Nothobranchius furzeri: one gene and its partner. The protein of the gene in region 1 interacts with the protein of each later gene in a biochemical or structural test. Links are inferred from orthologs where the notes say so. Each region holds a gene or a part of one and is shown on either strand. Other genes may lie near its edges.

The links.
Region 2: the proteins of poli (region 1) and polh interact in far-western blotting, tested with the Homo sapiens proteins (2 studies listed by BioGRID). The link is inferred for Nothobranchius furzeri from reciprocal best matches to the Homo sapiens genes POLI and POLH.

The regions. Positions count from the first base shown.
Region 1 is NC_091750.1:42,536,971-42,541,485, forward strand, and holds the start of poli (DNA polymerase iota), read left to right. Parts: upstream 1-1,639; 5' UTR 1,640-1,749; coding exon 1,750-1,828; intron 1,829-1,892; coding exon 1,893-2,012; intron 2,013-2,085; coding exon 2,086-2,250; intron 2,251-2,631; coding exon 2,632-2,778; intron 2,779-2,932; coding exon 2,933-3,169; intron 3,170-3,276; coding exon 3,277-3,455; intron 3,456-4,163; coding exon 4,164-4,255; intron 4,256-4,352; coding exon 4,353-4,486; intron 4,487-4,515. UniProt on the Homo sapiens protein: Error-prone DNA polymerase specifically involved in DNA repair. Plays an important role in translesion synthesis, where the normal high-fidelity DNA polymerases cannot proceed and DNA synthesis stalls. Favors Hoogsteen base-pairing in the active site.
Region 2 is NC_091752.1:33,811,554-33,815,803, forward strand, and holds the start of polh (DNA polymerase eta), read left to right. Parts: upstream 1-1,437; 5' UTR 1,438-1,652; coding exon 1,653-1,789; intron 1,790-2,046; coding exon 2,047-2,181; intron 2,182-2,305; coding exon 2,306-2,544; intron 2,545-3,862; coding exon 3,863-4,041; intron 4,042-4,118; coding exon 4,119-4,222; intron 4,223-4,250. UniProt on the Homo sapiens protein: DNA polymerase specifically involved in the DNA repair by translesion synthesis (TLS). Due to low processivity on both damaged and normal DNA, cooperates with the heterotetrameric (REV3L, REV7, POLD2 and POLD3) POLZ complex for complete bypass of DNA lesions.

The DNA of each region.
Region 1 (4,515 bases):
CCACCTGAATCCTCTTGCAAAGGCTTACGTCTCGGCTCGGCCGCTCCGGTCATCACAAGATCGTCGGCTAGCAGAGCCTACGCCACGCTCGGGACAATCCAGACTCTTCTCATGCATTGTTCCACAAATGTGGAAAGACCTACCAAGCGCTACAAGAACAGGGGCTTCCTTTTCCACTTTCAAGAAACTCCTGAAGACCCTGCTCTTCACAGAGCGTCTTCTAAACTAGCACCCTCCCTGCACCCGTCCCCCCTCTCTACTGTCCACTCCTTGTTCCCTCCTCTCCATGATTCATCACGCTGCCTCACTGCAACCTACGACTGACTGGAAATTGTTTGTTGTTGTTGTTGTTATTGTTGTTGTTAGCCTCAAGAGCAACATACCGATTATAACTGGTAAATACTAGAAAATGAAAACTGTAAAAAAAAATTAATTAAACTGTAGATAAATATACTGTAGCTGTGATGGCAAATCATCTTCATCCACACCTGAATCCTCACCACAGATGTACATGGACCTTTTGTTTTTCTGGAAGTTGCAGTAATAGTATATAATAGTATAGTAATAGTATTAGCAGAAATACTAGACAACAGAAACTGGAACGGGTTTAGTGCAGAGATACTTACTGCATTTGGGATGGAAAAACAATGTGGGCACATCTTGCTCCTCATCAACAACTTTTGAGAGAAGTTTCCTCTTTCTAGAAGGTTTCCTGGTTTATTTACAAAAACCAATCTAACGTAAAAAACTAAAAAGCCTCAGTGAAAAACGCAGCCGAAAAAAGACAAAACTACGGGTGATCGAACAGTACAAAAATGGCAAAGCAATGTCAAATATGACTAAATATAATCTAAAATTACTAAATAAAAACATAAAGTAGGAAATTTACTGAAAATAATTATTTACACCAGTAGAAGAGATAGAAGTTGAAAATAGGCGTCCAAAACAATTCCTCCGCTCCCATGGCGAGAAAGAGGAAGAAGAAACTCCTCCTGTAAAATCTTTCTTATTAAAACACTAAAACGTTTTGGCAGCAGCATGAAGGCGTCTCGCTATTCATTTTCTCTCTCCCTTTCCTTTCTTCTAATTTATTTATTTTTTGTTCTTTTCTATTTTTAAACATATTTTTAGTCATTTAAACATATTTTTATACTTTAATTGTTTTGTTTTTGTGAAGCACCTCGTGATTTTTATCTTGAGAGGCTCTATATAAAAGATCTTCTCAACGCTAACATACTTTTTCTTTTGTTATATTTATTTAGCTGTAAACATAATTATTAACTGTATTTATGTAACAGAAAACACTATGTTTTTGTGACGTGAAAGTGCTAAGCCCAGCTAGCTATAGTGCTCCAGACAGTTCAGTTTTTTAGCAGTTTTTATAAATTTATATTCATACATTTTGCATATAATTAAATAAAATAAAAAAAGACAAATAAAGTAAAATAACAGTTCCCTGAGAGTTTTGCAAATGCTGGAAGCCCTGATATAAATGCGGAATTTACATTATATAAACAACATTTGTAAAGTTTATCAACATTCATACATTTTTATGTGTTTTTTTTTCTCTCCTGATGTCTTTGGCTGTTTGGTGTGTTGCAATATCTTCTCCGGGCCGGCCAGTGGCGCTGTTGCGCACACGCGCAGCGGAACTGTCTGTAAACAAAATAACAAAAGCATGTATTTATGCTGAACGTGATGTTAACGCCATCACGTTAGTCTTTTAAAATCAATAATAGCGACGATGAGATGGAGGAAGAACTTAGCGAGTGGAAAAACTCCTTCGTGGATTCAGCAGCTCTCTTTTCCACCTCCTCAGTCGCTTCTGGTAAAATTGTAAGTTTTTGGTGCTTCAGCTTGATTTGAAGATAACTTCTGTGTCTTATATTCAGGATCAGCTGTTAAAGCATCATCAGCTCCTTCACACAGAGTCATTTTGCATTTTGACCTGGACTGCTTCTACGCTCAGGTGGAAATGATAAGAAATCCAGCTCTGAGATGCGTGCCTTTAGGTAAACCTAAAATATTATTATGGAATATTAAAGTTGCTGAGTTTCTGTGAAGGTTAAACACTTCTGTCTTCAGGTGTTCAGCAGAAATACATCATAGTCACCAGTAACTACATGGCCAGGGGGCGGGGTGTTACCAAGCTGATGTCTGTCTCTGACGCAAAGGAGAAGTGTCCCGAGCTGGTGCTGGTTAACGGAGAAGACCTGACACACTACAGAGAAATGTCCTATAAAGTGACAGGTAGCCGTTCTTACCTATTTAGAGAATTTTATATCCTCCAACACATCAGATTGATTTTTGTGGGGAAAAATGTGCTGTTGGCTGTTTGATTTTAGTTATTAAATCCCAACAGGAAGCACATTAAACCTTAAACTATCATATGCAGCCAAAAAAAAAATAATAATAAAAGAGCGCCTTTTGCTATCAAAACTGGAAAATTAAAAATAAGTGTCACAGAAGTCAGTAAAGAAGATACAAATTTATATCGCAGCTGAGCTGCTACAAGAAATGTGTCCTTGTCTTCTGTTATTGTTATTGTGGGGAGAAAAAAGCTGATGTTTAAATTAGTTAACATCAAAAATGCATAAATTATAAATGTTTTCTGCTCACCTTCACTTTCAGAGCTGCTGATGTCTTATTGTCCCCTGGTTGAGAGGCTTGGATTTGATGAAAACTTCATGGATGTCACAGAGATGGTGGAACAAAAGCTCAAACAGACAGCAGAGCCTGGCTGCTTTTCCTTCAAAGGACGCGTCTACAATCACTCCAGTGAGTTGTGTGTCTGCCGCTGCACATCTGGCTCACTGAAACTGAAAGATAACTTGTGAAAGAGTTCATTTGTGACGTATTTGCATGCCGTTTTCAGTGTCACTCTAACCGTTCCATTTTAGATTTTTTTTTCTTTTTCTCCGTTCTTGCTCAGGTGCTGATGCTAAAGCCAGCGACCACCCCAGGTTGGCTTTAGGTTCTCACATCGCAGCAGAGCTGAGAGAAGCCGTCCGCGGCAAACTCGGCCTGACTGGCTGTGCTGGCATCGCCACAAACAAGCTGCTGGCCAAACTTGTTTCTGGCACCTTCAAACCAAACCAGCAAACCGTTTTACTGCAGGAGAACGTTGGCGACATTATGGGCTGCTTGAGCGGCCTCCGAAAAGTACCGGGTATGCACGTTAGAAAAATATTCTGATTCAGAGCTGGTATTTAAGGGTGGAAAAAACTTTAATTTGTGTATTAAATAACAACTTTGTGTTTCTGTGATTTCTTTCAGGCGTGGGTCACCAAACTGCTAAAAAACTTCAATCTCTGGGATTGGTCAGTGTTAAAGACCTGCAGGTTTACCCTTTAAACGACTTAGCGAAGCAGTTTGGAGGTCCTACGGCTCAGCGCTTGAAGAATCTGGTGCTAGGTGTTGATGATTCTCCTGTCACCCCCTCTGGAGCCCCTCAGGTGAATTTAGAGGCCCCAAAGACTTTCTAACACGTTTATCCTTAAGTAGCATTTAGTTATTTATCATATATTAGAAATGACCGCCATGAAGCTGTGAATAGATTTGGACTTATGTCTATTTAAAGAGCAAGTCACCCCCTAATCAACTTTATTTTTCTGATAAACTATATAAACGCGTGTCTAATCGTGCTGCAGACACGTGTAGTCAATAGTTTTGCACTTTAGTGCATTTTAGTTAAAGTTTAAATTTTCTGCTTAAAACTGTCGGTGTTGTGCCGTTGTCGGGGAAAACTCTGCACTGCATTTGAATTTTAATCTGCCATCGCTATTGGCTAAGAGGTAACCTAGGACATTAGCTGGTACCATATGATGTCACAATGTCGTTGTGAGCCTGTTTGTGTGTATTTGTTAGCGGCTCCGCCTTCTCTGTCTGCTAGGTAACAGCATTTGTTGCATTTTTCAAACAGGAAGTGGGAGTGGAGTAATGCTCTGGTAGGGGGTGACTTGCTCTTTAAGTAGAATTTTGTAGGATTATTACACTGACATTAATTTTATGCAATAAAAGTAGGTTTAACTAAGGACAATATCTCCAATAATAAAGATTACATATCAGAAACTATCAATGTATTGGTGTGAATCTGTCTTTAGATGCTGCTTGATCAGGAAATGGTGTTTATCAGTTGCATTAATGTCCTCTTCATCGTTCAGTCTCTCAGTGATGAAGATTCCTTCAAAAAAATGTCTTCAACTAAAGAAGTTGTGGAAAAGATTCAGCAGCTCTTGAGCAGTCTGGTAGAAAGGTCAGGACCAGTTTCAGCACCTCATCAATGGATCCATGGTTCTAATCTTTGAATGAAGACTTGCCGCTTCTACTTTGTCTTGTTTTATAAAAACCAGGATGCAGAAAGATGGCCGCCAGCCTCAAACCTTCAGGCTTACAATCCGAAGATTCACGACGACCAACAAGTGGTTCAGTCGGGAGAGCCGCCAGTGCCCGATCCCCAACAGCATCGGACAGAAGATCAGCTCTGGTGTGGCCACTTTGATCTACTTTTATTTA
Region 2 (4,250 bases), on another chromosome or scaffold:
ATTACACCCACCCCCCGCCGCCCCGCTTTTGTCACAAATCACACACTGCGTATGACCTTTTCATGTTTATCAAACTGGGTTTAAGTACAACAGCAAGATAGACCTAACTTTTACATCTTTACATTTGTAACACAACAATTTGTATGTTATAACATACAGGTGGCCAATTTTTATCAGAAAATATAATATACTGATATTCCGGGTTAATTACTGTCAGTAGGCTATTCATTACCACTTCCTATAGATTATTTCAAAATAAAACTTACAGTTTTAAAATGAGCATTAACAGCATAGCTAGTTTAGATAAAGCCAGAATGTCTTCACTTATACAAACTATTTATCAGTGTGGGGGAACGTTGCTTTAAAGATGAGCTATTTCACAGTTCAGTTCATAACTAATTCAGTTTATAATTGATTTTTTTAAATTGGGTTCATAGTTAAAAAAACTAGTGCTTACTTATTTTTTCCAATATGTTTTGACAAGCTATTACCCTCAGAAAACTGACATTTTCCATTTGTTGCCATCTGTTCAGTCTACACTCATACAGTATATTCTCAATAACTTTAGGAAAAAATAGCTGTTGGAATGACTTTGTTTTAAAAGAGAAAATATTAAACAATCTGAGAAGAGAACCAGGCTAAGGAAACAAGGATGTTCCTCAAAGTGCAATTTTCAGTAAATATTTAAACTTGAATTATCTTTTAATGAACTCACTTTTGAAATGTTGTGAATTCATTTTCTGACTTGTTTGCCCAAATAAAAGAAAAGCTATTGAAGTTAGTTCATAAAGTGCAACAATCAGCCCCAAATTACTTAGAAAAAAAAATAATAACTAAATAAAAAAATACTTGCACAACTGTATGAATAGTGATTCCGGATTTTACCACTTAATGATGCATTCCAGTACTTCAAGTGTTGGCAAGACATTTGCCTATTTCAAATCACCTTTTTTCTTTTAGTGTAATTTATTAGGCAGGCTGTTACGTTTTGAGGTTGGTGGCAAGCAGGTAGGCAATAACTTTGTCTATATGAACTTTCTTTATTACAGGGAGGAGTGACGTTCATTTTTTCTCTCAGCACATCTCTGGAACTCCCTGAACTCTCCACAGCACCTCTATATCTATATCAGCAGTGTTCTGCTGCCTTCAAGAGTCAGAACACAACAGAAATCTATTTTTGGCCGTATTGTTTAATGTTTTCTTATCATTAATAATATTAGATTTTTATGTTTATATTTGTATTTTACTGATATTTATCTCCAAAATCCTACCTTTTCTTTTTACTGTTTTACGGTGCTTTGATGAGGTTGCTTTAAAATGTGCCTACCACAGGGATAAAATGACACATTTTAATAGGTTAAACGTTATAAATATAATTTAACACAATTTTAATCATAAACGTTGATTTTAATATCAAAGGGGAACAAATATACGCACTTTTCGAGGCGGGGGACATATTTCAACGTAACACAGATTTTCCTTGACTGTCCACGTTTGATGACGTTTGCGGTTGGGATTTTTTGCGCGAAATCTAATAGCTTTGAATTTAGACGCATTCTTTACTTGTTCTTAATATACATACCTTCCTCCAGCTGTACCTGACCTACGTAACGGGCGGATATATTTTAAGTGACGAAGTCTTTAGGTTTCTAATGGAATACGGGAAGGAGAGAGTGGTGGCGCTGGTCGACATGGACTGTTTTTACGTCCAGGTGGAACAGCGACTGAATCCAGCCCTGAAGAACATTCCCTGCGTGGTGGCACAATACAAGACGTGGAAAGGAGGCGGGTGAGTTTCCGGCACAAAATGTGTTTTAACCATAAAATAAACCTCATCTGGATAAGTTGACGCTGCGCCTATTGAAACCGGAAGTTGTGTTTTATTTTCCTATTTGGTGTGGTATACAATGTCTAGTTTCAGCTTAGTAAACATTACAAGCTCCTCAAAACGTATCTATACATGTCACTGTAGCAAAAGCAGGAGCAAAGTGAAGCCTCTATTTGTGCAAATGTTAAAAATGTATTCCTGATAATATCTTCTGTTAGTATTATAGCTGTGAGCTACGAGGCCAGGGCTCACGGTGTTACCAAGACCATGTGGGTGGATGATGCTAAGCAGTTGAGTACAGATCTCCAGGTAGCCAGAGTTCGCGAGTCTCGTGGCAAAGCAGATCTAACTCCGTAAGTGTAGATGACCATACACACCTCAAATTTCCTTGTTGCTTTTTGTTGAAATAGTAAATCCATATTTTATTAAACCTTACTTGTGAATAAAAACATAATAAAGCATAGTCACTTGTTTTAGTTACAGGGACGCTAGTGTGGAGGTGATAGAGGTGATGTCTCGCTTCGCTGTGATCGAGCGGGCCAGCATTGACGAGGCCTACATGGATTTGACAGCTGCTGTTCAGCAGAGGCTGAAAAACATGGCTGACATACAAATAGAGCCCAGCCTTCTTAAAACCACCTACATCCAGGGGTTTCCACAAAGTAGCCAAGAACCGTCTTCTGCAGGTGGCCCTGAAGGTCCTGTTTTGGGTAAAGGTAAACTACTAATCTGTTACTCATTAAACTCTGTGTTGGAAGTAGGGCTGCAGCTATCGAATATTTTTGTAATCGAGTACTCTATCGAATATTTTTTTCGATTAATCGAGTACTCTAATAAATTACCCTTTTGTATTTGTAAACCATTATATCAAATAGCATGTTATAATTATGAAAGACCTGTTAAAATGAGCAAGCAATTGCCAGTTATTCTTCAAGTTTTATTCAAAATTAGTTTTCAAAACTTCAGCACTTCAACTTTACTTCACAGTAAACAAATGGCTGTGCAAAAAATAAGTACACAACCTGAGCCGATTTTCCCCTCGTGCGAGAATCTGCTAGCCTGCAAGCCAGACAGAAACTAGGAGGATAACTGTTGGAAGTAGCGCTGCGAGCGGCTGCGGCCCAAACAGAACCAGAACCGCTCACGGTGCATGCGCAAACAGCTCGCCGGCTGTTTCCCTATTAACACACGTCCGTTTTAATTTCAACACGTTTTTACTCACACAATAACAAGGATTGTCGAGAAAGCATGTTTGCTGTGGTTTTGTCAAATTATACTGATCACAAAACATTTATTTACTTTCTTTCGTTTTCCTCTCATAAATACCCGTGTCCTCCTGCAGCAATCCCGAGGGACAACAAACATCAATAACACAATAAAAAGTCCGACGTTTTGTGTAAAAATGCTATTTTTTAGCACATTTTAAGTCCGACGTGTTGCTACCAGACGTACGGTGTGAGCTGAAACTAAGTGCTACAAACGAAAAAGTCGCACAGTGTCCGCAGAATATATGGAAATACAGGCTAAAATGCATTATCTTGTAGAGGCTCCGAGTCCGCTTGCAGAAGTGACATTTACAGGCGCTGCAGCAGCATGGAGGATGTGGTGTTGTGCTAGGCTAAATCCATTTTACAGTATTTACACTGGAGTACGTTTTCCGCCTAACGACGTGAAAAATGGTCCCACATCTTGACATTTTCTGTCTTTTTCGCACTCCACCGGGGTCCACGTTGTCCGCCATGGCTTAAGAGAAAGTTAAGTTACATTCGCTACTCGCGTGTGCAGTCCAGTGGGCATGTGCGTCACTTATTTCAGTCCGGGTGAAACATGACCACGGGCGACTGCAAAGCCACGAATTAATTAAATATGAATTAAACGAATCCTCGAGGCAGAGAATTTGACTCGAGGATTTTTTGTACTCGAATTATTCGAGGTACTCGAGGAATCGTTTCAGCCCTAGTTGGAAGTAACATCATCTAAAATGTTAAAACTATAAATTGAATTTGTGTAAATAGTCTTGATTTTTATCCGCAGAGGAGAAGAGATCCAGAGGTCTCCTCCAGTGGCTGGCATCTTTACCTGCTCCATCTTCGGGGGAGCACAGCTCTGCAGAGCTGCAGCTAACCGTGGGGGCTCTCATTATTGAGGAAATGAGAGCAGCTGTGGAACAACACACAGGCTTCCGCTGCTCAGCGGGAATATCACACAACAAGGTACGGTAAATTCTATTACAATTCAGACGCCACATTCATTTTATTGCAGCCATCATGGTCTACCATCTACTTTTAAGGTGTTGGCAAAGCTGGCCTGTGGGCTGAACAAACCTAACAGACAAACCATTCTACCTTTGGACTCTGTGGGGGAACTTTTCAGCTCTTTGCCTGTCAGTAAAATGTGAGTTTAAAGTCTCACAAGAATTTAA